7 linked regions of the Tribolium castaneum genome follow. The protein of the gene in region 1 binds, or shares a complex with, the protein of each later gene. Links are inferred from orthologs where the notes say so. Each region holds a gene or a part of one and is shown in the gene's direction. Other genes may lie near its edges. The genes, in order: cysteine-rich PDZ-binding protein, SNRPG, Tango4, Sf3b5, U5 small nuclear ribonucleoprotein 40 kDa protein, Brr2 and SmD2.

Region 1 (3,537 bases):
CAATTAAATTTTTTAAGTTCTAAAGTTGCAAAGATTTTATTCTTTGTTTCGACTTTATTCCAATTGTTACAACTTTAAAGTTATGTAAACTTCAGTGAAATATTTAATAGTAATGCGACGGTAAAAAAATCATTATATTTGACTTCAAGACTTGAACCATTAATAAAAAAATGTCTCTAAAATGTAAAAAAATGTCATGGAAAAGGAACCATGTTGATTTGAAAAACACATTTTTTTGATATTTTTCTACTTAGAATCGTAAATTTTATATGGTGCATATTTTATTGAGCTGCTATACTTTGTGTTAAAGTTTTGTGTATTTTTTTGTTAAAATTGTATAAATATTTTTCATTAAAACTTTTTTTGCGGCGCAGTTTTATAAGTGCTTCATTATTTATATTTTATCTGAAAACAGTTAGTCGATTGAAAATTTCGACCTTTTATGTTGTGTACTTGTGTACTTTTACCACATTATGGAAAATGTTTCAAAAAAAATAATTACAGTCGAACTTCGATAACTCGAATAATTGGTAACAAATTGGACCGAAATTAGCTTTTTTACGTTGAATTTTTTTCCACACCATTCACACTTTGAGTTAGCAACAATTTTTTATGTATCTTTTGCACAAATCAACTTTTAAGCATTTGTTGTCTTAGAATGTTATAAGAAGTAATAAAAAAAAATGTTTGCACCGCACAAAATATATTAAAACATATTTTCTGAACTTACCTTTAAATTTTAATTTTAAATTTTTTTTTAGTTTTTTTTTTTGAAAACACGAATGTTCGGTAACTCAAAATATACTTTTTCAAATTATTGTGTATGTTATATCAAGTAGGTTGAGGAAGTCTAAATATTTAATTTAATTTAATGACCGGAACAACATTATTAATAACAAAAATCTTTTTTTCTATATTAATTACTTTGTTAATTTTAATGAATTCTTTTTCTACCTCAGAAGCTTGAGTACACGTATTTATTGGAAAGAATAATTATAGAACAGATTAAGATTCATAATTAATATAAAAAAGTATATTTTGCTGACAACTGCTAATTTGTAGAAAAGAATTGTAGAAAAATTTTGAAAAGAATTACATAGATAAAAAAAATTAAATATTTATTAGCAAACGCTGGAAACCAGACAGAAATGCCTAAGTTTGTTGTAGATTAAGTTTACAAAAATAATAATAATCTGAGTGATCAATGATTTTAAATCTAAGTTGGCCACAATAACTATCAAATCTAAACGTTAATTTTTGTACTCGATTTTTAAATTTCACCTACAATTTATAGTACCAATAATAAAAATAAGTGTTGCCAACTTAATTTCAAAATGTATTTTGCTCTGTTTTCCAGAACGGACAGATGATGATGATAGTGATGACGATGATAGCGAGATGGAGGATGCTTCTGACGAAGAATTGTCAATGGACGAAGATGAAGATTTCGATGAAGATGACCTTGAAATGAACGATGATGACAAAAGTATATTTTTTGTAATAATAAAACACAAAATTATCCTTTGCTTGCAGTGCTTCTGGGTGACTTAGACGACGATGAAGACGAGGAAGTTGTTTTTGACGATGAAGAACCGAAGTCAGCAAAATCAAAGAAGAAAAAATCCAAAGACACAAACTCAATATTTGCATCAGCTGAAGAATTTGCCTCATTGCTTGACGATGAAGGTAGTTCGAAAATAGCCCCAGGAAGTTCAAATGCGTTATCAAATAAGGATAATGCGAGCACTAAACAACTTGCCTGGGAACAGAGTAGAAATAGGTGGTTGAAGGGATTTGATGAAGTAGTTGGCAAAAAGAAAAATAGTAAAGGTAGCAATTTTGGCAAGAAAAGGAAAGGTCCAAATAAATTTAATAATAAGGCAAAGAAGAGGAAGAATTAATAATCGACAAGGAAGCAGTCGATTGCATTTTAATTAATATAATTCTTTACGAATCCACCAGTTTTGTGTTTTATTTAATTCGTGTTGGTTGTATTTCGCGAATATACAACTACACATAACCCATAACCTAACTTTTCGTGACGTTTAACAGTACGTTCTGTTTATTATCTTCGTGTTTACAATTTCGTACCAAATTCACAATAATTATCGTGTTTTGTGAAAATGGTGTGCGAAAAATGCCAAAAGAAGTTGGGCAAAGTGATAACACCAGATCCTTGGAAAAGTGGGGCTAGAAATACAACTGAGTCAGGGGGTAGGAAAGTTAACGAAAACAAGGCTTTAACAGCTAGCAAAAACAGATTTAATCCATACACGTCCAGTTTTGAGACTTGCAGGTTTGTTAATGCAAGTAATCCTTAAAATTGATTTACTCTTCTCATGTTTTTATTGTAGAATATGTAGGCAAAAGGTGCACCAGGTTGGGTCACATTATTGCCAGTCCTGTGCTTATAAAAAAGGAATTTGTGCGATGTGTGGTAAGAAATTGTTGAGTACGAAGAATTACAAACAATCGTCAACTTGAACTACATTTTGTGTGTTACTTTTAAACAAAATTAAGCCTATTCTAAGTTTTAGAGCAATTTGCATTGTTTTGTAGGTACTGTTAGGTTTTCTGTCTGTATACAGTGAGTGTACGACAATTTAATTATCTTGAATGATAAGGTGTGTAATTATATTTAATAACTTATGACAAAAGTTTTTTATTTCATTTTTATGATAACATTTTTAACTTATTAATTCATTTCTACCTATTCTATCCCTATTTCTTTTTTGTTATTAAGGTTGACTATACATTATTAAAACGCAACTATCAAATATTCTAGAATTATTATTTGGACTTTTTTATAAACTAAAAAACTGTACCTGTAATATTATTTCCACAAAGTTAAAATACGATTTTGTCTTATTGCACTAAAAAAATAATTGAAAAAATTGATGTCTGTCGTATTATTAAATACTTCTAAAAGTGGCTACACTGTATATAACCTTTTAGAAATGAATTTCAGCGATTGGATTTTAAAAATTCACTTCCCTGTATATAAAAAAAACGTGACGAAGTCGTAACAAAATTCAATGAATCAGACAAACCTCTTTGTTTTCCACCTTGCAGTAATTACTTATCTCAGTGATTATATTTTTTGTTGGTGACGTTTTATCCATACACTTACACAATACTGCCGTTTAATTTTATTCAGTTTGGTTCTTGCTTTTGACGCAAACGGACGTAAAATTAAAATTTTCCAGTTCAAAATTTCAAATTTGTTGTGGGTAGTGATCGCGGTTAGTGTGTGGTATTGTAATGGATTTCCAAGAAGAAAGGGAGGAAACTACCCGGATTAAAGGGTTAGTCTGCAGTACCTACATTCTTTTTAGAAAAATTACATTAACTCTGTAACATTTAATTGAACCACATTGTTCTTATTTTATTGTTTTTTATTTCACAACCATTTTAACAGATAGGGCACTGCACACTTTTTTAGATTTCATTTTCAGTTTTTACAAACAGTATTACCAGAAGTGAATTTTTCTTGACAGGAACTTAGTACCAGTCAAATTTTTGCAACTTACAATTAGA
Region 2 (3,277 bases), on another chromosome or scaffold:
CTAGTTCTGACACACGCTATATTTAATTCCAAATCAAAATTGTTTTCCCGGCGCATCCACCAATTTGACACCATCATGAAAATGTAAATAAAACACGATAAATTGTTTGTATCTTTATTGTAATTATTGTAAACGTACATAAGTGCTTATATGGATAAGTAAAGAAAATCCTAGGTTGGCGCAATGAAAATTTAGGAAGTCACTGAAACAAGAAAACATCAGATTAAAATCCCCCTAAAGGATTCACGTTTACACATGTTGATCTACTCAAATCAAGATTTTTAGTCCTGATTTGAAGAACGCACAGTTGTCACTGTTAATTTTACAATTAATATGGGTTACTCGTGGACGATAAATATTTTACAGCGTAACAACTACAAAAACTAACAAATTTCGTTAGTCACTTGGTGCTAGAATCTATTCGATTTTCAGGTGAAGAAGAATGTAAATCAGGCACCAATAAAAGTAATGGTTTATTGTGTATACCTAACTCGAATTTACCACCATACAAAGCAGATTTATTCACCTAAATGTCTATAAAAATTTCGACTCGACTAATGACTTTTTTTTTTCGTGTTGTGGAGACCGTGACCTCGACTTAGATCTTGAGTTATTTTGTTTACTATTCGATTCCCCTGAATCCCCCCAATCCGACAGATCATATTTCGATAAGTCTCCGTCGTCGTCATCCTCCTCCTCGTCCTCCTCCTGCTCCTCCTCTTCTTCCTCCTCAACCTTCTTCTCCACCTTATCTACACTATTTTTCATCTCCTTCACCTCCTCACTTTTCTTCTTTTTCCTCCTCCCGAACTCGTCATATTCGTCGTCAGACTCGTGCTCCTTATACTCGACCACCCCCCTGTCGTTATACCCCCCACCGAACCCCGTCCTCTCCTCCACCTCCCCAAACTTGGGGGCGTTACAAACGTTACACTGCTGCCTCCGCGCCCAATTCACGTTACCGCATTTGTTACACTGCCAATCGTCGGCACTAAACAACCCGCGACTTTTCTCTGCCGCCGCTTTACCGATCTCGTGCCCCAATTTGCGCTTTTTCGCCGACACCGGCCCCCGACTTTTGTAACAACGGTTACAGTTGTTACGGCGGGCGAAATTTACGTTACCGCAGTCCGGACACGTCCAGTCTCCCTCGTTCGACGCCGACGGGCTTTTCAGCGACGGCGGCGGGGGCGGTGTCACTTCGGCCTCTTCCATGGGGGCGATACTAGACTAGAAAAGGCGTAAAGAGTAGTGGCTAGAAGGAGCACTACTAGAGGGAACGGAGGAGCAAATGTTAACATCTGGCGGTACTGGTACTGCTTTTACCTTTACTGAACCTTTTTCCAGCGGTTATTCCAACAAATTTGTTGATAAAAAAGTAACGTCAAACCGAAGATGCACCGAAATGTCACTAGCACAGAGGGATTTTCGACGCCAAACGTTGCCCACACCAATCAGGACACGATCACCAAAACAACAATTGCCTTATTTCAACGCAACACTTACCGATTTCTGATTACAGTTATCACCAAAACCAATGACTTGTTTTGTTTAATTTTTTGCATTAACTATACGTTAAAAATGTGAAAAAATTGGGACAACTGATCATGCCCTGTACTTAGCAACTGTCAAATCTGTCAGTTTGTGTCAAGCGTTTGAAGAGCGTTTTAAATTTTAAAAACTCAAAAAAGTACACAAAATGTCGAAAGCACATCCTCCGGAATTGAAAAAGTGAGTCTTGTTTTGTCGTAGAACGTATTACTAGTTTTTTTGCAGATTTATGGACAAAAAATTGTGTTTGAAGTTGAATGGGGGCCGACAAGTCGTTGGTATTTTGCGCGGTTTCGACCCTTTTATGAATCTAGTGGTGGACGAGAGTGTGGAAGAGTGCCGGGATGGCAAGAAAAACAATATAGGGATGGTGGTACGTTTCTTTTGAATTAGTGTGGATTTGAAATTTGAGGTTATGTTTATTACAGGTGATCCGGGGAAACAGTATCGTCATGTTGGAGGCTCTAGATAGGATTTAGTTTGTAATTTTGGCTTAATCGATAATTATTTGTAATAAAAGCGTTCGATTCTGACCGAGTTTTCTTTTATTGGGCTTGGGGTAGGGTGGAAATAAGTGAATTAGGGTAATAGGAGGGAAAGCATTATCGTCGTCGCTTTTGTGCGTTCATTCACAAAGAAATTCAATTCGTATTGTTTTCCTCGAGCGGTTTGTCCGTAACAGTGTATGAAAAGCTTAGAGAATGTCGCATGCGCGCCGCCACTGTTCCACCGTCGGGAAAATATTGGAAACGTTCGCTAGTTTGGCATTAAAGCGTCTCGGCGGCGACGTTCCAGTGAAAATTTTCGTGTAGTGACGAGTTTTCCAGAGCCACATCACAATCAGCGTCAGGTATTGCCCCCATTGACAGTTTTTCCGGGAAAACATCCGGATCGAAATTAACACCCACTCGATTTTAATGTCATTTCCTTGGAAAATGAGTTTTTTGAGGAACAGTCTTAAAGCAACCACCCTTGACTAGGTCAAAGGAACACGCTGAAATGTATTGCCCTATAAGATTTCGCTTTAATTAGTTAATTGTGCCCGAAACAATGGACATTATAACTACAATCCCCAAATTAAATGGAATAATTTTTTAAATAGAATCTTGTGAAAGGTGACGGGTAATATTGGGATAAAATCGGCAATCAAACTCCGAAGATGACACTAAGAGACTTTCCAACGTCATATTGACCCGTCTTTTTCATGTCAAAACAGCATTTTAATAATGCCACCCTCGAGAGAGTTCTATTTTTATTTTTCCTGGAAATTCTCCAAGTTTTTCTCGTTTTTCCAATACGAAAAATTCAATTGTAATACTTATTTAATCCATCACTTGGCTTAATTAGTTTAGAAGACTTTTCTGATCGCCTCAGGATATTTTTCAGAAAGGGATCACGTTTCAACTGAAACAACCTTCATTATGTAACGTTATCAAATTCCCCGTTTATTTACGTCTTTTCAAATCACGAAAAATCCTAAGCGGTCATTGTCGGCCGTCAATCTCGCTCGTAAAAAAGGAATCCGTTAAAATATTAATCAATCAAAATCCTTTTAATCTCGTTAAGTTTTAATTGAATCTCACGGAGACAGCCGGAGCCTTGCTCATTTCTCTGAATGTGATGAAAGGAAAATTCTCATACAATTCTCAGGTGGATTTACTTAACTTTCATAACAGTTTTAATTAGCAAATCCGGGGCCGCCAACAAACGAATTTAATCAAGAAAA
Region 3 (4,736 bases), on another chromosome or scaffold:
GATTCGACATTTCGCAAAACAGCTAAATAAATGGGTGGTTGTACACGTGTAAATCACAAGATTTGGACGAATTTGTGGCTCGCAACCGTTCAAGTATCAAGTTTTGGGTGAGCTTTGACACTGTGTGGGTAAAATGACAAATTAGGAGCTGTCACAACACCTTTCAACGGGTTAATTAACAAATTTACGGAAATTATAAAATAAAACGCTGAAAACAGCGTTTTCGTCAACAACACAAATTCAAAGAAACTTCGTTAACTGGGAACGTTCGCGGTTATTAGGTTGCTGGCATTGGGCAACTGGTTACTCGATGTGCGGCGCCGGGTTTAAAACATTCCTCAATTTATTGATTTAACAATTTATGCAAGCTTTACGAGGACCATTTTAATTAAATTAATGTTTTACACCAGTTTCTGAATAAAATAAGTTGGTGTCTTGTTGTAAAACTCTTAATTAATTTATTATTAATACCTAACAGATGTCACTGGGTCACGTAACGTCAAAAAAGTGACAGTTGTTGGTAAATAAAATGTTGCAAATAAGTGTATTTTTCTTTTGATCTGTTATGTTTGGACAACTCAGCACCCGTAAGTAACTGGGGGAAGTACACAAATGTAGTTCTTACGTAACAGTTCTTAGAAACACGTCAAGACCCCAGTTGTAAAAAATGACAAAAATCAGTGAAATCAGCCGAAATTCGTCTGCAAGCCTTTCCGACGATGACGAGGAGACAAGAGTGCGCAAATTTGCAAAACACATGCTCAAGAGCTCCCTATTTATCGGTACGTTTCTGGAAAAAAGGCTGGTTGAACCTTTGAACTCGTACCGCGATGTAATTAAAATATGCGACGATGAACACGACCTTATTGCGAATTTAAAAGCAGTGAGGAAGCGCTGCTTGAAGCATTTTACCAAAAATGTGTGGATTGGTATCACGGAGCCGAAAACAATCGGGGCCCCGGCAGGTTACAATTTGTGGGTGAGTCTGGACGAAGAGGTTTTTGGGAGTTTTTGGTACAAAATCAAAAACGTTGAATTCTTCCACAATGAAGTTAGAGTCAAGCTTGAAGTTGTGAGGCCAGTCAGAGAGAAGACTCCAGTTCATAATATAACTCCCACTCAGATTTTTGAAGACGTTTCTCAGAAGAATTTGGGTGAATTGGGTGCAAAATTTCAGGAGTTTTTCAAGGATCAGTTGAGGAACTTGTTTACTGAAACCTTGACTTGGCCCAACATTAAACAAGCCACCATATTTATGGTTCTTTTGTTATCAACACTGATCACTTTCTTGATACACACCATCAAGTACCTTCTAGACTATCTCCTGAAACTTTTGCGTGAAACGCAAGGACTTATCAGGGTTTGCACCCCAATTATTGTCAACTTTATGACTTTAATTTCGAATACCATTTGTGGATTTTATTCTTTATTGGCGGTTTTGTGGCGAAATCGGTCACCACCAATCAATCAATTACACATATCTCCGTATGATGTACCATATTATAGAAGTAATATGAGGGCATTACCTTACCAGGCAGGAGACTTTCAAAGGTATCGCAAATCTCGCGGATCTTCAGTCAAGATCACTCCGTTGGATTAAGTTTCTTTGCATTATATAATTCTGTTTGCATTTTTAATCACATCGCTGCAAAGTGGGGCACTAGGCAAAGCTACTTTATTGTAGTCGACTCACAATGTAAATAATTTGTGTAATATTGCTTTTATCTGGGCTCAGGAATGTTGACATTGGGACTTGTACAGATAAAAACTAGATGCGTTTTGTGGTCAAAAAACTATGTATTTTATTGTAGACTTAATAACGAAATATTTATAAGTGAAACAACTCGTATCTATTTTTATAATTGTTGAAAAATACAAATGTTAAAAAAATTGGCGTGCTTTTATTTTGTGACCAAAACTACCCAAATAAGAAATTCAATTCAATTTGGTATGGAAATTAACTATTTTTTGGTTAAAAAAAAAAAAAACTCAAACTCCCTCCACGGTTGAGTCAATAGTAGTTTCTTTTCCTGTCTATTCTACGAACCAAAAGTTACCAAATGGTGGATTTGGTGATTTTTTGCAGAGAGGTTAAGTACGATTTTGTTTATTTACCCGAAGATTAATTACTAGTATTACAATTCAGTAAATATCCGGAGTTAAATACTCGTCTTCACAATGACCGAAGACGTGCAGAGACACTCCGTACATACGTTAGTATTCCGTTCCTTGAAACGGTCTCACGACATGTTTCTCTCAAACCAGGGACTACTGCCATCAGTGGACGAAAAAGCGTGAGTAACAAACCACAAAAACAAGCAGCCCTTAATATTACGAATTAAATAGCGAAATGGTGCGAAAAGCCATAAAAGCCCGTGACTTGTACGGCCTAGTCTTTGACGACGTTAAGAAAATGCAAGCTATGAAGCACTTACGGGAGGCAGAAGCTGGGCCAAACCCCCCACCACCGGGCACACGCACTGACGACGCGGCCCCAAACACCGAGGGGGCTGTTGTACCGTACACTGACACAAGTTTGATGACACGAAGCGTCCAAAATAACACACAAAACCAGCTCGCCAATTTAATGAAAAAAGTCCCCACAATGCCAAAGCCGAAATGGCACGCCCCTTGGAAGCTATACAGGGTGATTGCGGGGCATTTGGGGTGGGTCAGGTGTGTTTCGGTGGAGCCAGGAAATGAGGTATAAAATTTTTGTTGGCAGCAAATTTGTTACCGTTTTTTTGTTAGTGGTTTGCGACCGGCGCAGCGGACCGAATAATAAAAATCTGGGACCTGGCAAGTGGGCAGTTGAAAGTGTCCCTAACTGGGCATGTGAGCACGGTCAGAGGGTTGGCTGTGAGCAGTAGACACCCTTATTTGTTCAGTTGCGGTGAAGACAGACAGGTCAAGTGTTGGGATTTGGAGTACAACAAAGTCATTAGACATTACCATGGCCATTTATCGGCTGTATACTCTCTAGCGCTTCACCCCACAATCGATGTTTTATTAACAGCAGGGCGTGATTCAACAGCCCGGGTTTGGGACATGAGGACGAAAGCAAATGTTCACACTTTGACCGGCCACACGCATACTGTAGCTAGCGTGGTGGCGCAAGCCTCCGAACCTCAAGTTATCACAGGATCTCATGATACCACAATCAGATTATGGGACCTGGCAGCTGGGAAATCAATTTGTACGCTTACCAATCACAAAAAGAGCGTTAGAGATGTGATTCTCCACCCGACTTTGTACGATTGTTTAATTATTTTTTTTGTAATTATTTTATTATTTGTAGGAACATGTTCGCGTCGGGCTCACCCGATAACATAAAACAGTGGAAATGTCCTGACGGGAAATTCATACAGAATTTGTCCGGTCATAATGCTATTGTTAATTGTCTCGCTGTCAATCCAGAAGGCGTCCTGGTTTCAGGGGGCGATAATGGAACTTTACATTTCTGGGATTGGAGGACCGGTTACAATTTCCAAAGATTACAAGTAATTTTTGTAACTTTGAAGGAAGTCAATCGATTAATGTTACATTTTTAGGCCCCAGTACAACCTGGGTCAATGGACAGTGAAGCTGGAATATTCTCAATGATTTTCGACAATTCTGGCTCAAGATTAATCACAACTGAAGCTGACAAGACCATCAAAATCTACAAAGAGGATGAAACTGCGACTGAAGAAACGCATCCGATTAACTGGAAACCCGATATTTTGAAACGGAGGAAATTCTAATTCTATGATTAAAATAATTTGTATTTTTATAAAAATAATAAATAAAATTTTATGAGCTACTAAAAAGTTTTAATTTTACCCAACTTTGCATTATTTATCAAATTTTCCGAAAATTAATCAAACCATTTGACATTTCTAGACCATTAATAATCGCAGAAGTGCACAAAACTTACGATTTTCTAGATGTAAAATCGTGAGGGTAAAGGTTAAAATGCTCTACGATAAATAATTTTTAATTTGATAAAAACAATAAATTAATTCGTTTGCGAATTTGGAATGCTTGTTACCAATCATATTTCCTCGTTCAAGTCGTAATCTTCCTCAGGGAAGTCGCCACATTCAACGTTGTGTGGCTTAACAAAGGCGCCATAATTATTAGCACATTCAAAATATTTCTTGCCTTTAAATCTGCAACAAAAGCTAGAATTTTTTTTCAACTGATGGTCGTAACTTACGTTCCATCGTTTTTGCCCAAAGGTTCGTCATACTTGACCCCTATCCAATATCCAGGTAAGGTCTCAACAGGCCCTGTGTACATCACAGTGCCAAGTCTGCAGGGAGCATTGGCTACAGTAACTTTGCATCTTGAACCAATTGGCGTGCTTTCTGCCAGTTGTTTTTCCTCTGACATTTGCTTTTCTTTCTTTTTTATATTCTCCTCGTTATATTGCCCTGAAAATTTACAATTTATTCTGGAAAATCTTGGGTTTTGGTGGCAATTTACCCATTTTATTTTTCATTAAAAATGCCTTGACTGAATCTGTCTTTTTATTGTACTCTTCCTCGGGTAACTCATATTTAGGCACATCTCCAAAATCAAGCTCATTGCGTATATTAAACTGGTCAATCACGTGTAGTCTCATTCCATCGTCCAAGGGATAAGAACCAAGCAAAGCCTCATTGTTTGAAAGTGAACAAATGTGCTTATTATCCTTGTTGTACGCTTCAATTTGCATCGTATTGCAATTGCCTCCTGTTATTAACTCGAGTTTT
Region 4 (3,459 bases), on another chromosome or scaffold:
GGCATCGCAGCCTCCCTCAGTGCAAGACTTTCAGGTAGATGTGAACGGTTAAAGTTTTGCAAAAATCTATTTTTTTTCAGAACTATCAGCAGTATTTGCACAAGAGGGCCGGGCTCCAGGCCGCCCCAGTGGACTCCTCGACCACATCCCGACCCAATCATTGCGACGGAGTAGACGCCCTTGGTTGTTTCCAAGTGCGACTCTACTACGACTGGTTCTTAATCCCCGGCTCTTGCAAGTGTTGGAGACCCGATTATTTTAATAAATACGTCAGGAGGAAATCCACCACTGAACTATAATTTTTCAAGACTGTATATTAGATGATTGAAAAGGGGGATTTTTATTTCAAAAAGTGTAGTCTAGTCTTCGATTTTTGGGGGAGAAGGGTTAAAACCGGCCGATACCGTTTGATTTAAAATCCCCTTTTTGTGATATTTCTCCCGATTTAGGCGACGAGGGAGCGGAAAAAGCAACTTAATATATTTTTATTTATTTGTTACGACTATTCCACCGTTTCACAGGCTTAAGACTTGCACATAATTTATGAATAGGCGATAAGAAATGTTATGAAATAGAGTAATTTGATAAAAAATTAAATTACTGTGTTTCAAAAGGGTTAGGTAATGGACGTGCAAAATTTTTGACATTGTATAATAATTGTGTAAAAATTTTCTAGAAATATATTATTCATGACACTGGTTGTTTGATCTGGGGCAGTTATTCCTGATAAAAAATGGTTATATTTAAATTACGATAAGTATAACGCAAACAAAAACTACAGGCTGATAGAGCATTTAGGGCCACATTCATAATCGGGTTTAAAAGAGCATTAAAGTAGATGTTTATTTTTCACAAATCTTTCACACATTCCAAAAAACATTTAATTTAATGCTCCGTTAAATTCGATTATGAAAGTGGGCCTACATTTTCGATGGCAAGAAATAAAAGCACAAAAATTATCATAAACAATATTAAAAAAAGCAAACTTTCACCATATTTTTTAAAACGCTGCAAATATGGTTGAAAAAAGTGTATAGAATGCTTTTTTCCGAGAAAGTCTGCCATATCATATTTCTATCATTAACCATTTATTAGGTTTAAACAAATTTAGCGTGAGCGGCTGAAATATGGCCTCAAGAATTTTTTTCCACAAAAAAATGTCTGTTAGCTGTTTCAAATTTATAAAAACGCCAACGTTGCATTTTACCGATTTTATTTTTAAATAAGATTGATAAAAATATGAAATAGTTATTATTGATTAAATCTCTTATTGAAACTATAAATTACATTAGTTATTATTTTTTTGAAGTGCATGAATAATTTATAATAGCTAATTTTGAGAGAAAATGCGACGTTAGCGTTTTTATAGTTTTGAGACAGCTAATAATATACGTATTTTTCCCCATTTTTTCAGTTCGTCTCCTTTTTTCTCAAAACAGTTAAAAACTGACCAAATAAACACATAATGTCTATATACGTAAAAAATTACTAAGTATAAAAACTAGCATAACATAATATAATAATAAATAATAGTATATTTAAAAACAAGTTTTCTATGGGATGAGTGCGCCAAAACCCTTATAAAACGAGAATGTTTTTATGATTTTTTCTTATTTTAATTAAATTTTTTTGTCGTCTAGGGAATTTCGTGTCAGTTGGTGACGGTAATAAATAATAAATAAAGAAGAAATGATGATTAAATCGATCGTACGTGTATTCCACGCATTATCGATGAAACTCTTGAAAACTAAATATCCCTAAATTCATTAAAGTACACTGTACTTTAATAGCCATAAACGACTCCTACTGATATATGTTAATACACGTGTATTATAAACGAAAAATATAATATAATAATAGAGAGACTGACCACTATCCTGTTACACTACAAAACGAAGGATTTTTAAGGCTCATATTTACAATTGCGCGTTATTCAAGTGAAAATAGTATAGCATTTTTGGTGGCACCTAAAGAAAATTTCAGAAATACAACACACCCTGTATAATAAATGTTAGCGAGAGGAATAAAAACCTAGGGACTTTTTTGCTGCCGAACAACAGTGGCAACCCTAACATTTAACACTAATGAGTAGTGAGTTGAGTTCGAGGTTAGGTGAACTTAGGAGCATCAAAACAAAAGTGTGTTTCTTCTTTGTGTGTCTCTATTTCGTAATTTACTGCAATTTGTAAAAGTAATGGGCGACCGCTACAACATCCACAGCCAGTTGGAGCATCTCCAATCGAAATATATCGGAACAGGCCACTCTGAAATAACGAAATACGAATGGCTGCTGAACCAGCATAGAGACAGTTACGCCAGTTATTTGGGGCACCACGATTTGTTAAATTATTTTGCGATTTGTGAGAACGAGGCAAAAGCCCGAGTTAGGTTTAATCTAATGGAGAAAATGCTTCAACCGTGTGGTCCACCTCCAGATAAACCCGAGGATTAGATTATAGTAAAGTCAATAAAAATTTTCATATAATCGTTGTTTTTTTTAAAAGACCATTTTAGAATTCTTCCGATAACTAAAATAATTGTAGCCGAAAGGTCTACTTTGTATTTCATTTCGCCTTTATTAGAATAGAATACCTACTTTATTTGTGTCAATACTAATTGCACTAATAGAGTATTCCACACACGCCGCAAAATTAACTTACATTTAAATAGGTATTACTGTATTACATAGGCAAGATATCACTAAAATCATTCCGAAGATATGTATTCCTTAATCGAATAAAAAGTTTTGGAAATTAAATAGTGTTTCAAGTTCTTTAATAAAAACATGGAGGAAAATTTCTAAAGGTAGTGGAAGGGCATTTAAAAATGTATTTATTTATTACCCTTATTAGGAATATAATTTTTTCTAGTACAATAATTTATGACTTTAAGAGAATATTCTTAGCTTTAGTTCGCTGCATTTTTATAAAAAAAAAACAGATTTTCAATATATTTATTTTTTATTTACCAATTATAGTGACAATAATAGCATACTTAATTGACTGTAAAATGTAACAATTATAAAAATATAGCTTGCTTATAAAATATGACAGATTCAACCTTGGACTTTTTTTTACAAATGAAACCAATCTACACCAAAAATTTGACTATGTGTGCTGTATAAGGCTTATAAAGGCCAAGAAAGTTGGGTTCTATTTCATAACACTATTATGAACCAAGTCCTGAAAAATTAAATAATAAAAATATGCTTACGAAAAAAAGCGAGACAACCTGAAGCTCGTCAATAGTCCAATTCCAGTCTTCTTTAGCAATTGCAGGAACCACATCCATAATCACTTTAGTAACTTTAGTCACATTTTTCTTAAATGTGGCAAGAACATCAGCAACAGTCACATGTTCGTCTCTATTTTCTTTCCAACAATCATAATCAGTGACTAAGGCAATTAAGGCATAACACAAACCGGCCTCTTTGGCTAAAATAACCTAGAAAAACAATGA
Region 5 (5,357 bases), on another chromosome or scaffold:
TTCAATTTTATATTAATGGGAAATCAACAGAGGGTACATTATGGATTGTTTTGGGCATCATTGCAGTTAGTAAGTATTTGAAAAATTATAGTTTCGTTTTTCTTATTTTCCTGTTTCAGTTATTTACGTCTACATGTGGCTTGTGGTCTTCAGTTACTTCACTTTTATTCGGGAAGAAACCAAACGTGGGGCTTATATTAAAGATCCGTTCCGACGGCACTATTAGGAAAAACTGTGTGTTTTTATTCAACCAAAGACAGAGAATTGTTTGACGGAGTTAATTTTAGTTAAAACTAGTCTAAAAAAATGTGAAATGTGTAACACGATTTGTTGTTGATGATATTATTGCAAGATATTAATTTTTTATGACGTAGGTTTTAGTCTATTTATTATTGTTGAAATAATCTGCTAATCCACTTTAATAAATGTTTATTTTGCTATTTCTTTCCATCTAACACATGCATTTTACAGAATATGGAAATTACGCAAACTTTGATGGAATGCCGCAAATATTTATCCACTTTGCGTGTCGCAAAGTTTAATGTTTGAGCACTTATTTTAAATATTTTTATTAGATTAGTTGCATCACACTCTCCGTAGGCACGGAAGTAAATATTTTAAGTAAAAATTAATTAAAATGAGTTATAAAAACAGGATATACATATTCTGGAAGAAACGTACGTAAATATTTGCAAATGTTTAGGCAATTTTTTTGGCATGCAATCAGTGTTTTAAGTTTTTTCTGTAATATCGTCTAAGAGGAAGAAATCATTAATCAATGTCGGTCTGTTAACAAAATTCTACGTTTAAAAAAGGCACAGATAACATAATTTTCCAACAAATTTGGGATTTTCGATTAATGATTTTTAGTGTCATTTTAAGAGTTTTTTTACAAACTGATTTATTTTAGAGTTTAAATGAGTTCAAAAATTGAGCAAAATAAACCAAAGTCAAGTCAATTTTTAGTTAATTTAAGGATTTTCACGGTGTTTTTTCACGAAAAAAAGTGCTAAAATATTAAATAAACATCTGAAAATAGACAAATAACATTATTTTTAACACGATTTAACAACCTTTTGGATTGTTTTGCCAAAATTACACAAAAAACATTAGTATCTAGTATCTAATTTTGATCAAGTTTGCTGATTTTTAAGTTTCTTCTGACAGAATTTAAGAAAATATGTAGTTTTTAAGTCGAAACTTTACTGAATCAAACAAAGCAGACTATAATAACGACTATAATTTGGAAGATATCATTCTTATCAATCTATTTTAGTAAAATTACGCAAAAAAGATGTTTGTAGTTTGAAAATGAGCCTAAACTCCGGGGGTTCCTCCTAAACTTAGGAGATGAAACAAGATATAAAATTACAGGAGTTTCTAATCCCAAAAAATTAGTACGACACACTAAAAATGATGGCGCAATAATGCAACAGTCTTATGGGGTTGTACCTCAAATATTTGCCAAGAGAAACTTAATTGTGTTTCAGTGTTGCAAATTACTAACAAAAATCTGTTAGTACCGGGAAAATACTGACAATTTTAGAGCAAAAAAGTAATAAGAATTACGCAAAGTGAGTTAAGTGAGCTAATATTAATCGTTTTCGAAATTTTGGCAAGTAAAAAACCAAATAATTTTTAGATATCGACATTGGGAAACCATTTCATTGTTGTCAAACATTTATTCCAAAGGAGATAACTATTTGTTTTATATAATTGAAACAGGGTATACAATCAAATCGTACTTCGTGCTCTCCACCAGAGGGCGCTTATCGCTTCGTTTTGTTGACGCTAAAAAGTGAGGTTATTGTTTTCCTCCCAATTTTTGTTTAAAACACCAAAAATGGTTGTTGAGAAACGTCGAGCCGAAGATTCATCATCTCTAGTCCCCGTAAGCAAAAAATCGAAAAATGAAGTGGCCACATCGAACAAAAACAAATCGGTCTTACAAGCGGTTAGTAACACTTAACCTCAAAAACCCTCCTCAAATCATGTATTTCAGGCCCCTGCGAGAACTTCCAATCTATTTGCCCCCATTATGTTACTGGAGGGCCACGAGGGTGAGATTTTCACAGTGGAATTCCACCCTGAGGGTCAATATGTAGCTTCATCAGGTTTCGACCGTAGAATTTGTAAGTTGTTTTTTTTGCAATGAGGTTCAGCCAAATAGGTCTTCATATCAAAATTTTGGAGGATTTACTTGAATATCTAATATAGTAATTTGAAGTACATAGAGGGTGTCTTAAAATTAACGCCCGTGCGTTGGGAATTTGATTCAGGGGGTTAACATAATTCGAAAGTTAAGAGTAAAAAATTTTCAATTGTTATTGATAAAAATGTAAATAATAAGCTTAAAGCTGTTTTTCCAATTGTTTGTGCAACATAATTCATCAGTTGATGTTAGCAGGGCTGAGCCATGCCAATTGGCCGCCTGTGTGCAGGTTCCAATAGTAGTTAAAAATTACCAAGTTAAATAAATGGAAGCAAATGTTCATTTTTAAAATATTCTGAACTAGTTTATTTATTCAAAAATAAAACTATTTGTAACAAGAATATTTTTAAATTTTGTACAGGTACATTAGCTGTTAAAAATAATTTGATAACTACAGTTCATTCTTTTTTATAATTAACTGTCAGTGTCAAAATTTTGATAAAGACCAGACTGTATCACACCAAAATCTCATGTCTAATCACTTTCGAAACTAGCTGTATTCTGTATTTGACATTTTACACACCAGATTTGACATTCGGGACAATTTTTGCAGCCAATGAAATTTGAATTCGTTAGTCTTTAGAATTTGTTAGCCTTTTAAAAAAATGTGTTGTGCGTGTTGTAACTTAAAGACCATTAAATTAAATTTGCCAGGTAAAAATTAGTACCATCTTAGTAAAAATTACTATTTATGGTAATACTAACCTGACGGCTCTTTGACAGTTGATTATAAAAAAAATCGACTATATGTATACACGAATTGTTATTGCTTTGTTTTATCAGGGGTGCATGTTTTTTATTTTTGTTTTTTAACTAATATGAAAACAACCTAAAAACAAAAAAATAAGGAAAAACAAACAATCGTTCTTATAAAATAAAGCCAAAACAGAAAAATAAAGCCCTTGTGTAAAATTATTCATAACTTTTTTACCTCTTTCATTTTTTTATTCTTTTTGTTTTTTGATTTTTTGCTCCATTTGTTTGAATTTTATTATACAGCGTGCTCAAAAACTGGCGCACCAACTCATTGGTGTGTGGTAGAGAACTGGTTACATATAAAGGTAAAAATAGTAAAAAATTCTTTGTATTAAAGTTATTGATAAATAACGGATTTTGGATAAATGATATGTGGCAACGTTGTCTAACAGTCATGATCGCAACAGAAGTTGAGCAAGAATAAAAATAAATTATTTTTGAAACGGTTTCCTAGGAAATAATTGCCAGTGTTGGCACATTTACACATTGCGATTTTTTGGATGAATTTTAATTTTTTTAAATTAAAAAAACTGCTAAAATCTGATAGTAAATTTGAAAATAATTATTCATCGTTTTGTTACGGAACGATTACTTGGTATGAAACATAAATACATAAAAAAAATAATGAAAACTAAAGAAGTTAACACAATAAGTTTGTAGCTCCAGATTTTTCAAAATATGACTTTAGGAATTTTTTAAACATTTTTCCCGTAATCTGCACTTGCTTCTCAATAATGTACCACTGAGTTGGTGCGCCAGTTTTTGAGCACCCTATATTTATCAGAAATATGAAGGAGTGTAGTACTAAAATAGTAAACAAAAAAGTTGGTGGCTATTTAAAATGTTATTTTAACATGTCTTTTCTCAATAACTGGATGTCAAAGACTAGCGTTTCTAAAAATAAAATTGATTTGTGTATTGAAAAAAATAAGCCATAACTAAGATATAAATTTTATGTGTTATATTAAGTTTACTCTGTAGAATAATTGGACAGAAAATTTTATGGTTTCATTCTAGAATTTTTTAATTTTCTAGTCCGTATAAATGACTACTATTTAGTCATTTGCTAAGTAAAATGTTGACATTGCGTGGTAAAATAATCTAAATGCTGAGTGGTAATTATTTATCTATTTTTAGCGATATTTGGCCAACCAGTTTTGCAAGTTATTTGTGCGTTAGGTATTTTACAGGGTTCAATTTTTGTATTAAAGCCCTCAACTTCGTTTCGAGCTTCAATATTAAAACTTCACGCTGTAAAATTTTACCTACTACAGGTAAATTGTAAATAACTATTACTAGAAAGGCTATCATTCCCTAAATTTATGCGTGTAAGTTAAGACTCACCCTATATACGTCTGAACTTATATTCATTTAGGGATCTTCTCCAAAAAGGTTTCTAACTTTATTCAGAAGGAACATATGAGGATGTAAATAAAGAAAATTATCAATTATAGTTTTTCGAAAAATTTTATTTTTTTATAATAAAGGCAATACCAAATTCAAAAACGTCTTCCGCATTCAATTCAACAGAAAATTTTATGATTTTATTCTGTTTTTTTAAGTTGTACAATCATTTCTTTACTTCTAATCACTCTAACTCTGTTCATTTTCATAATGAAATTAAAAGAATCCAAACTATATTTTTATTTAAAATTTTATTTATTCCATCGTCAAGGATAAATGAAATTTTATCACTTAGAGAAATAATATTGTTCACAACTATTGTTGTTTTTGTTGAGTTTTTGACGTTTATAACTGTCAATCAAAATAGCTCAGTAACTCAATCGAAATAATGGAGGATGGAATAAAATTTTGTATTGCACACGATAAAATTCACTATTATCTTCTCAAGATCTCAAAGTAAAATTAAATTTTATTGTCTTGTATATCAATTGATTAGTTTTAAAGATCTACATATTTTTCTTAGCTCTTACCTATTTTGAAGAATTTGGAAAAAACATCTTTTAAGTATTGAAAAAAAAAAGAGTCGTTTTTACATACTTTACGGCAATCTTCATCAAAAAATTTGGTTTAAAGGCCTATTTGTCTAGACTAAATATGTTGGTTTAAAACATGTGCGATTTCAGTCGTTTGGAGCGTTTACGGTGAGTGTGAAAATTTATCGGTAATGAGTGGCCACACGGGTGCTGTCATGGAGCTCCACTTCACGACAGATGGCACTAACATTTTCACAGCCAGCACTGATCACACGCTTGGCCTTTGGGATTTACCAACAAGTCAAAGAATTAAAAAATACAAAGGTCACACTACTTTTGTTAATTCGGTCCAAGGTGCGAGACGAGGCCCTCAAATGTTGGTCTCAGGCAGCGATGACACCACGATTAAATTATGGGATATTCGCAAAAAACAATCCGTCACAACTTTCAAC
Region 6 (4,599 bases), on another chromosome or scaffold:
AAAGTCCACAAACTAAAAATATTTATATTTTACACAGGATGTTGTTATACCGGGTGATCAACCAAAGTTATGTTTTTTTTAATGGAACAGCCCATATATTTTTGCATAATTAGATTCTACGTAAAAAAACAAAGGTACTTTGTATATACTATTATAGGCCTATCTTTTTTTGTTTCGGAATTATTCAACTTTTTGTGCTAAAAACAACTAACATTTAAAAAATCACTGTGAAGCCGCCAATGAGTATTTTCCGACAAATTTTCGACAGAAAAACTTAGAATATCTTGTAGTTTTAGCATATAGTCAACTTTTCGTTATAACGCACAGATAATGTACAGGATGTGCCAAAACGCAAAAAGTTGAATAACTCATTTTTTTTCAAATGGAACAGCCTGTATTTGCTTACACCTATCAATAGCAATTTTGATAAGCTTTCTAATGATGTACGGTTTGTAAACCAAATTTAAAAGATTTCTCGAGATTTTCAAAAAAATGGAAAAAGTGCATTGTGCTTTCAGAACGTCAATTGAGCAAATTGAAATGTATTTCCAAAATTTTCTGGTTGTAAAAATTGTTACTTCTGAAATTCATTGATTTGAGTTGCAAAAAAAGCAAAATTGTAACTAAGTATCTGTGGACAAAATAAAATGGAACAATTTTTATTTCGCTGATTTACATGATTTAATTATAATTTAAATACTCGTGGAAATTCATGTTGTTCTTGATTAGAAACTTTGCTTCATCCAGACCCAGGATTTCTACTTATTGTTTCTTGTTTCCATTTTTTTAGCTTCACTATATGTTAGGTAGAAATACATACTCGAAAAGGGTTCTCATGTAGCAAAACATTTATACACAGAGAATTAGTGATACCAGAATGCAAAAGATTTATTATCAGGAAAATTATTAAAGATGTTGACAGCTATAATTGATTAGAGCTCGGAAACTCTGTAAACGACCACGATAGGCGGAGCCAATGCGTACTTCATCGAGTGGGGAGATCGAGCAGTGGCGTAGCAAAAAAATATTCTGTGATCAAGAAGGGTTTGAGATTTATAATTTGTAGTTGTTACGATTTTCTCTATTCAATAATAGCAAGATGAAATAATAAAAATACACGTTGATTTCCTAGAAATACAAAGCAGAGAGGTCGAATAAATAAAAATACACAATGAGTAACGAGTAAAAACGCGTTTATTGCAAAAAATGTTTCTACTGGTATCTTTACTATAACTAGTAATATTGAAATGTTAAACTTTAAGACGAATTCCATACACATGTAAATACACGCCACGCTACTGTTTTCTGCCAACACCCCTAATTTATAGATTGGACTCGTCCGTGACGAGTTTTCGTCTCTGCGCACTCCTACCACCGTGGACGATCTGTCATTTTGCGGACTCTACTCTATCGATTTAAGCAATAAATAAGTAACGTCAAGACCGTCACAAAAAAATATGAGTCGGAAAAGCAGCAACTGGAAATTTTGTAGATTATCCCGTTTTCGTAATAATTAAATGACTCTTAGGCAATTCTACAATCAAATTTTATTTTATCAATTGGTTTCGAAAATATGGTTCAAAAACGAAGTTTCACACCCTATTTGAGTCGTGTAGATGCAAAACCAAGTGTATGCTCTAGCGTTTTTCACTTTTCTAATTTGATACTATCGCCTAACGAGCAGACTGACTTATCAGCTGATTTAGATTTAGAAGGTAGCTAACATCTATTAAAACATTTCATCTAAAGCCGTTAAACCTTTTCCGGATCTATTATAACAAGATCACCACTTCACATTACAACAAATTCCGATTTTTGCAACTACAGCTCTGTATGTTATTGCTTTGCATTACCATTTGACATTTCATTGGCAGTTAGCAGATGTTGGACTTTTTTATCAAAGATGTTTAAAAATTTTGTTACCTTCAATTAGTTTGCTGTTACTTGTTCGAGATTTGATTTTCAGTACCATTTTGTTAATTATTAAATTCATTGAAGAGACTATATTTTTACTTTCCCTATTTTGTAATCTTACCAATAATTATTTAGTCCTGGCTAAGACGTAAGCTAAGGGAGCAAATTCTGAGAATATTGTGTAAGAATTTCGTTATAAACATACTGAGAATTAGGGCTAGCTGTCAATTCAATAAACATTTATTTCAAAAACACAGTTCTCTAAAAACTACCTCAATTTTTTCGACAGAAATGCCTTCCTTAAATTACTCTTAATTTGTTTTATTTAGGTAGTCTCAGACAAAGTATCTTTAGATAGTATAAATAAGATATAGTAAGTAAGTAAAGTAGTAAGTAAGTAAATAAGATAGTATATTTAGATAGTATAAATGTACATACAGCGTGCTCAAAAACTGGCGCACCAACTCAATGGTGTGTGATAGACTGGTTACATATAAAGGTAAAAATAGTAAAAAAATTCTTTGCATTAAAGTTATTGATAAATAACTAATTTTAAATAAATGATATGTGGCAACGTTGTCTAACAGTCATAATCGCAATAGAATTTGATCAACAATAAAAATAAATTATTTTTGAAACGGTTTCCTAGGAAATAATTCCCAGTGTTGGCACATTTACAAACTGTGATTTTTTTTATGAATTTTAATTTTTTTAAATTAAAAAAACTGCTAAAGTCTGATGGAAAATTTAAAAATAGTTGTTCATCATTGTGTTAGGGAACGATTACTTAGTGTGAAACATAAAAACATTAAAAAATAATGAAAACTGAAGAAGTTAACAAAATAAGTTTGTAGCTCCAGATTTTTTAAAATATGACTTTAGGAATTTTTTCAAGATTTTTCCCGTGATCCACACATGCTTCTCAACAAAGTACCACTGAGTTGGTGCGCCAGTTTTTGAGCAGCCTGTATAAATAATCAGTTTTCATAAAACGTGTGGAATAACAAAAAAACATTCTAATTTTATAATTTCTTCTAGGTGCTGGTGTCAACTGCAACACTTGCCTGGGGCGTAAACTTACCAGCCCACACAGTCATAATAAAAGGAACCCAAATTTACAATCCAGAAAAAGGCAGATGGGTTGAATTGGGTGCTTTGGACGTTCTTCAAATGTTAGGTCGTGCCGGCCGACCTCAATACGATACCAGAGGTGAAGGCATATTGATAACCAATCACAGCGAACTGCAATACTATCTATCACTATTGAACCAACAATTACCCATCGAATCTCAAATGATATCAAAATTATCAGACATGTTAAACGCTGAGATTGTTTTGGGAACCGTACAAAATGTACGAGATGCCGTCACATGGTTAGGTTACACGTATTTATACATTCGAATGCTTCGACAACCAACTTTGTACGGTGTTTCACATGATCATTTCAAACAAGATCCGTTATTGGAACAACATCGAGCTGATTTAATACATACAGCTGCATTGTATCTCGATCGTAGTGGTTTGGTTAAATATGACAGAAAAACCGGTCAGTTTCAAGTAACCGAACTGGGACGCATTTCCTCGCATTATTATTGCACCCACGAAACGATGCAAACTTACAATCAATTGCTCAAACCAATGTTGAGCGAAATTGAATTGTTCCGCGTTTTTTCCCTATCGTCTGAGTTCAGGAATATAACAGTCCGTGAGGAAGAGAAACTTGAGTTGCAAAAATTGATGGAACGTGTTCCAATCCCGATCAAAGAAAGTATCGAAGAACCAAGTGCCAAAGTAAACGTACTGTTACAAGCGTACATTTCTCAACTAAAACTGGAAGGTTTCGCACTTATGTCCGACATGGTTTACGTAACACAATCAGCTTCGCGTTTAATGCGTGCTATTTTTGAGATTGTTTTACACAGAGGTTGGGCACAATTGGCCGATAAATCGTTAGCTTTGTGTAAAATGATTGATAAAAGAATGTGGCAGTCGATGTCACCGTTGCGCCAATTTCGCAAAATGCCGGAAGAGATTGTGAAGAAAATTGAAAAGAAAAATTTCCCATGGGAACGTTTATACGATTTGGGACCGAACGAAATCGGCGAATTGATTCGGGTCCCAAAGTTGGGCAAGACTATCCATAAATACGTTCATCAGTTCCCCAAACTTGAATTATCAACGCATATTCAACCAATTACCAGGTCAATGTTGAAGGTTGAATTGACCATAACGCCTGACTTTCAGTGGGATGAGAAACTTCATGGAGCGTCTGAAGCGTTTTGGATTTTGGTGGAAGATGTGGATTCAGAGGTTATTCTCCACCATGAGTATTTTTTGCTCAAAGCGAAGTATTCACAAGACGAGCATTTGGTTAAATTTTTTGTCCCGATTTTCGAACCTTTGCCACCTCAGTACTTCTTACGTATTGTGTCAGATCGATGGATCGGAGCCGAGACACAATTACCAGTTTCTTTCCGACATTTGATACTACCAGAGAAGAATTTCCCACCAACTGAACTACTTGACTTGCAACCTTTACCAGTCACTGCCTTACGGAACGATAAATTCGAGTCGTTGTATAACGACAAGTTCCCGCAGTTTAATCCAATTCAGACGCAAGTCTTCAATTCGGTTTACAACGGTGATGATAATATTTTTATTGGTGCCCCGACCGGTTCTGGAAAA
Region 7 (3,336 bases), on another chromosome or scaffold:
TTTTTAAATCAAAGAATTACGATTTTTATGCGTTATTTTAAACTCACTCTGTATATTTTACTTACTAGTGAGTGAGCAGAAAACAAAATCAGTAGGTATAAATTATCTGAATTATCTCTTGGTACAGAAGAAAAAAAATTTTTTAAACTACCTAGTGTAATTAACAAATCGAGTTCACTTTTTTTTTGGTTAAGTTATCAAAAGTTATAACATCATCATTTTTGACATCGTATTTAAGGCTATACAAAAATAGCTATCTATGTAGTTTCAGAAAACTAAATAATTATTACTAAGCTAAAGCCCTCTTTAAAATGTTTATCTGTTTTGTTTATTTGCTAGGAAAGAAAATGTTTTGTTTTTGTAAAATTTCTGATAGTTTTTTGTTTTCTTTTAATTTTAATTTTTTATTTATAACTTTTTTTGTGTGAATATCCTATAATATTTCCCGCTGGATGAGCATTACTCATTTGCTAGGTGGTTTAGGGCGATTTTAGCTTACATTAATTAGATACAGTCAAGTTATGAATCAACTTTAGATATTTAGTAAATTTATTTATAGGATTTTTTTTTAATGGGTGAACGAAGATTATTAAAACTGTAACAGAAAATATACTTCTGCCTGGACTCTTCTTTTATCAGAAAATTTATGAAATTGGAACTGTTGTTAAGAAAAAATCTAAGGACTAAAGATGAGATTCGATGTCATTCGAAAAATATGTGTAGTAATGCCGCCGTTGATTGGTTTGATTGCATGATTGGTACCCCTTTACTCTCTAAAACATTACAAAATTAACACTAATAGCAAGTGCTTGGAAAATTTTCGCGTATAAACGCCCGGAAAATCATTTCCAAATCAAACTCCTCTACATAGAACTACTCTACATTTCCCCAAAAATTACCTGAGCAAAAGTCCACTCTTATAAACACTTGCGTCAAAAATAGAAAATTGCCCAACACAAACAATATCATTGAATACAGCGCGTGTATCTCGACACAAGAGGCATTCAGCAAGCAGCCGTAAGCATCGGCTATTATCCTATTTAGTCCGAAGTGGCCCCTAACGAGATTTAAATATGTTCATCGTCGATGTCAAACATATGAACTTTATTCCATTCATCTGGTCAATTGATTAATTGAATTAAGGTAGGCACACGAAGACCGAACTCATGAAAAACGAAGCCTCAAATGCGGGACCTTAGACGGGCGGCGACAGGAAACGCCGCAAATGAGGAAGTCGAATTAAGAATTATTAAATCTGACAACGTGTGACAAGAAAACAGACTTTTTTTGGTGATTTTCATCCATGCGGTATAAAGCAGCCAGACCGAGGAGATTTCAAAAACATCACCTTCGGCGCAACTACTTAATACCGGGTGGACAAGAGGCTTTCTTCTGGTGCGTTTCTTCAAGTATTTAATTTATATAGCGGGACGGGGTGGTTTATCGGCTCCTCACTGCATTTTAATGATTATTCTATTATTATTTGCGTTGGCATTGCTTGTATACTTAAATAAACACGCTGCTGGAATAATTACTTGCACTGGTTATCTCTTATTGTTATACTTACTATAAATAAAGAGTGATTATTGTTTATCGTAATTATTTAATTTTCGATTCTGGGGCTAACAAATTGCTGGGAATTAAACTCCCTTCGTTGGAAAAATGCACTGCAATACTCGTATTTGCAATATTTATTACATTTTCTAGTTAAATTATAATAAACGGTGCATTCCCCTATCTGATTCATTAATAGCTTGTTGCTCTTATATTTAACGTCTTCATCTCAATGGATTATAAATTGGTTTATTTGCTCGATTTTGTAATTAGTTTTTAGATCGTGGTTTTTGAGTATGTTAAAACTCTTAATTAATTATTCAAAAGAGTAATCTTAATGTAACTTTAAATGTGAGAAGAATAATTGTTGATTTAATTCGAAGTTTGTTTTCTTCACTTTAAATGTTTGAATCTGCCGCCATAGTATTAAACCCAGTTTGCGCATGCGCATTGCAAAATTCCCCAAACGCATCCAAAACGCTCAAATTCCTAACCTAACTATTTTTGTGCCGGAAAAAGTGTTGTTTTAAGTGCAAAAACCGAGTCAGAATGGCTTTAACGAAACCCAAGTCTGAAATGACGGCCGAGGAGCTTCAGGCTCGCGAGGAGGAAGAGTTCAACACGGGCCCCCTTTCGGTGCTCACTCAGTCGGTGAAGAACAACACTCAGGTGCTGATAAACTGCCGAAACAACAAGAAATTGCTGGGGCGGGTGAAGGCGTTCGATCGGCACTGCAACATAGTGTTGGAGAATGTGAAGGAAATGTGGACAGAGCTGCCCCGGCCTGGAAAGGGGAAGAAGAAAGCCAAGCCGGTAAATAAGGATCGGTTCATTTCGAAAATGTTTCTGCGAGGCGATGCGGTTATTATAGTTGTAAGGAACCCCCTAGCTACGGCTAGTGGTTAATTAGGAATAAAATTTGTATCTTCAGTTTAGTGTTTATTGAGGAAATTCACTTACCTATCACTTCACTCGTGTGGTCCTTCTGTTCTGCGGTTGATTGATACCGCGAACGTGATACTGTGGAAATATCACATTCATGTCGTTGCAAATGAAAGATTGAACGGTTTTTTAACATTTATCTATAAAAATAATACAACAAAATGTGATAAAATTTCTCCTTTTTATTTAAACAAGATAATACAAAAGAATAATAAATATTTGTAACTTATGCAAGCTGCATGACCTAACCCCTTTCACATATGATGTCCACAACGCTTGGTTCCATTAAAATCGGTTCCAGGCACCTGTGGACTGCTGATCCCAAAATCTCATCCAGGAGGAAATGAACCAAGCTGGAAAATTCAATTAATTTCACTAAATTCAAATTCGTGACGTACTTTTCATCCGCAACAAATCGCCACAAATACAACTGCAAGTAATGCGTGTCCACTTGAATTTGTTGGAGGCCAAATTTACTAAAAGTCTTCAGACGTACGCACTCCATGAACGTCTAGAAATTATTTTTTGATTAAATGCTTCAACCCTCCACAAAATGATGCCTTAATAAACTAGCCTCTGCTGTAAATTATCGGAATGCCAACTAGATGTAGTTCAGTTTACAGAAAGCGCAAGTAAAATTTAATTCAGAATTAAACATTTATTTTGCATTGTCAAATGTTAAGTTAATTAAAGGAAAATGTTATTTTTTTTATGAAAAATTTAACAAACCAATTCTTAAAGAAAATTAAAAAAATAATCATCTGGATAGGTGACCCAACGTTGCCTACAATTTACGATAAAATTTTTATTTATGACAGAAAAAATCCAAATAAATTTATA

The links.
Region 2: cysteine-rich PDZ-binding protein (region 1) and SNRPG share a complex: the UniProt entries of both Homo sapiens proteins name them as parts of the minor spliceosome. The link is inferred for Tribolium castaneum from reciprocal best matches to the Homo sapiens genes CRIPT and SNRPG.
Region 3: cysteine-rich PDZ-binding protein (region 1) and Tango4 share a complex: the UniProt entries of both Homo sapiens proteins name them as parts of the minor spliceosome. The link is inferred for Tribolium castaneum from reciprocal best matches to the Homo sapiens genes CRIPT and PLRG1.
Region 4: cysteine-rich PDZ-binding protein (region 1) and Sf3b5 share a complex: the UniProt entries of both Homo sapiens proteins name them as parts of the minor spliceosome. The link is inferred for Tribolium castaneum from reciprocal best matches to the Homo sapiens genes CRIPT and SF3B5.
Region 5: cysteine-rich PDZ-binding protein (region 1) and U5 small nuclear ribonucleoprotein 40 kDa protein share a complex: the UniProt entries of both Homo sapiens proteins name them as parts of the minor spliceosome. The link is inferred for Tribolium castaneum from reciprocal best matches to the Homo sapiens genes CRIPT and SNRNP40.
Region 6: cysteine-rich PDZ-binding protein (region 1) and Brr2 share a complex: the UniProt entries of both Homo sapiens proteins name them as parts of the minor spliceosome. The link is inferred for Tribolium castaneum from reciprocal best matches to the Homo sapiens genes CRIPT and SNRNP200.
Region 7: cysteine-rich PDZ-binding protein (region 1) and SmD2 share a complex: the UniProt entries of both Homo sapiens proteins name them as parts of the minor spliceosome. The link is inferred for Tribolium castaneum from reciprocal best matches to the Homo sapiens genes CRIPT and SNRPD2.

Annotation. Positions count from the first base shown.
Region 1 is NC_087394.1:8,404,890-8,408,426, forward strand, and holds cysteine-rich PDZ-binding protein, read left to right. Parts: upstream 1-2,006; 5' UTR 2,007-2,123; coding exon 2,124-2,296; intron 2,297-2,354; coding exon 2,355-2,484; 3' UTR 2,485-2,660; downstream 2,661-3,537. Other genes in the region: Noc1 (CCAAT/enhancer-binding protein zeta), read left to right, coding at 1,358-1,486, 1,534-1,901; ras-related protein Rac1, read left to right, coding at 3,262-3,305. UniProt on the Homo sapiens protein: As a component of the minor spliceosome, involved in the splicing of U12-type introns in pre-mRNAs. Involved in the cytoskeletal anchoring of DLG4 in excitatory synapses.
Region 2 is NC_087395.1:18,416,222-18,419,498, forward strand, and holds SNRPG (probable small nuclear ribonucleoprotein G), read left to right. Parts: upstream 1-1,571; 5' UTR 1,572-1,699; coding exon 1,700-1,731; intron 1,732-1,776; coding exon 1,777-1,924; intron 1,925-1,979; coding exon 1,980-2,030; 3' UTR 2,031-2,084; downstream 2,085-3,277. Other genes in the region: zinc finger Ran-binding domain-containing protein 2, read right to left, coding at 535-1,215. UniProt on the Homo sapiens protein: Plays a role in pre-mRNA splicing as a core component of the spliceosomal U1, U2, U4 and U5 small nuclear ribonucleoproteins (snRNPs), the building blocks of the spliceosome.
Region 3 is NC_087397.1:4,268,468-4,273,203, reverse strand, and holds Tango4 (pleiotropic regulator 1), read left to right. Parts: upstream 1-1,982; 5' UTR 1,983-2,095; intron 2,096-2,146; 5' UTR 2,147-2,178; coding exon 2,179-2,294; intron 2,295-2,346; coding exon 2,347-2,704; intron 2,705-2,751; coding exon 2,752-3,251; intron 3,252-3,298; coding exon 3,299-3,500; intron 3,501-3,551; coding exon 3,552-3,743; 3' UTR 3,744-3,802; downstream 3,803-4,736. Other genes in the region: c-Myc-binding protein homolog, read right to left, coding at 1-10; uncharacterized protein LOC656577, read left to right, coding at 668-1,600; Tbcb (tubulin-folding cofactor B), read right to left, coding at 4,034-4,151, 4,199-4,415, 4,468-4,736. UniProt on the Homo sapiens protein: Involved in pre-mRNA splicing as component of the spliceosome. Component of the PRP19-CDC5L complex that forms an integral part of the spliceosome and is required for activating pre-mRNA splicing.
Region 4 is NC_087396.1:17,669,212-17,672,670, forward strand, and holds Sf3b5 (splicing factor 3B subunit 5), read left to right. Parts: upstream 1-2,014; 5' UTR 2,015-2,138; intron 2,139-2,192; 5' UTR 2,193-2,194; coding exon 2,195-2,452; 3' UTR 2,453-2,485; downstream 2,486-3,459. Other genes in the region: spz6 (spatzle 6 precursor), read left to right, coding at 1-34, 81-299; Mtap (S-methyl-5'-thioadenosine phosphorylase), read right to left, coding at 3,153-3,182, 3,232-3,444. UniProt on the Homo sapiens protein: Component of the 17S U2 SnRNP complex of the spliceosome, a large ribonucleoprotein complex that removes introns from transcribed pre-mRNAs.
Region 5 is NC_087399.1:11,298,662-11,304,018, reverse strand, and holds the start of U5 small nuclear ribonucleoprotein 40 kDa protein, read left to right. Parts: upstream 1-1,745; 5' UTR 1,746-1,843; coding exon 1,844-1,954; intron 1,955-2,002; coding exon 2,003-2,132; intron 2,133-5,055; coding exon 5,056-5,357. Other genes in the region: uncharacterized protein LOC656468, read left to right, coding at 1-69, 120-226. UniProt on the Homo sapiens protein: Required for pre-mRNA splicing as component of the activated spliceosome. Component of the U5 small nuclear ribonucleoprotein (snRNP) complex and the U4/U6-U5 tri-snRNP complex, building blocks of the spliceosome.
Region 6 is NC_087397.1:20,462,707-20,467,305, forward strand, and holds part of Brr2 (U5 small nuclear ribonucleoprotein 200 kDa helicase), read left to right. Parts: intron 1-2,952; coding exon 2,953-4,599. UniProt on the Homo sapiens protein: Catalyzes the ATP-dependent unwinding of U4/U6 RNA duplices, an essential step in the assembly of a catalytically active spliceosome. Plays a role in pre-mRNA splicing as a core component of precatalytic, catalytic and postcatalytic spliceosomal complexes.
Region 7 is NC_087395.1:17,190,485-17,193,820, reverse strand, and holds SmD2 (probable small nuclear ribonucleoprotein Sm D2), read left to right. Parts: upstream 1-2,003; 5' UTR 2,004-2,103; coding exon 2,104-2,460; 3' UTR 2,461-2,484; downstream 2,485-3,336. Other genes in the region: serine-rich adhesin for platelets, read left to right, coding at 1,148-1,243; Vps51 (vacuolar protein sorting-associated protein 51 homolog), read right to left, coding at 2,741-2,849, 2,895-3,007. UniProt on the Homo sapiens protein: Plays a role in pre-mRNA splicing as a core component of the spliceosomal U1, U2, U4 and U5 small nuclear ribonucleoproteins (snRNPs), the building blocks of the spliceosome.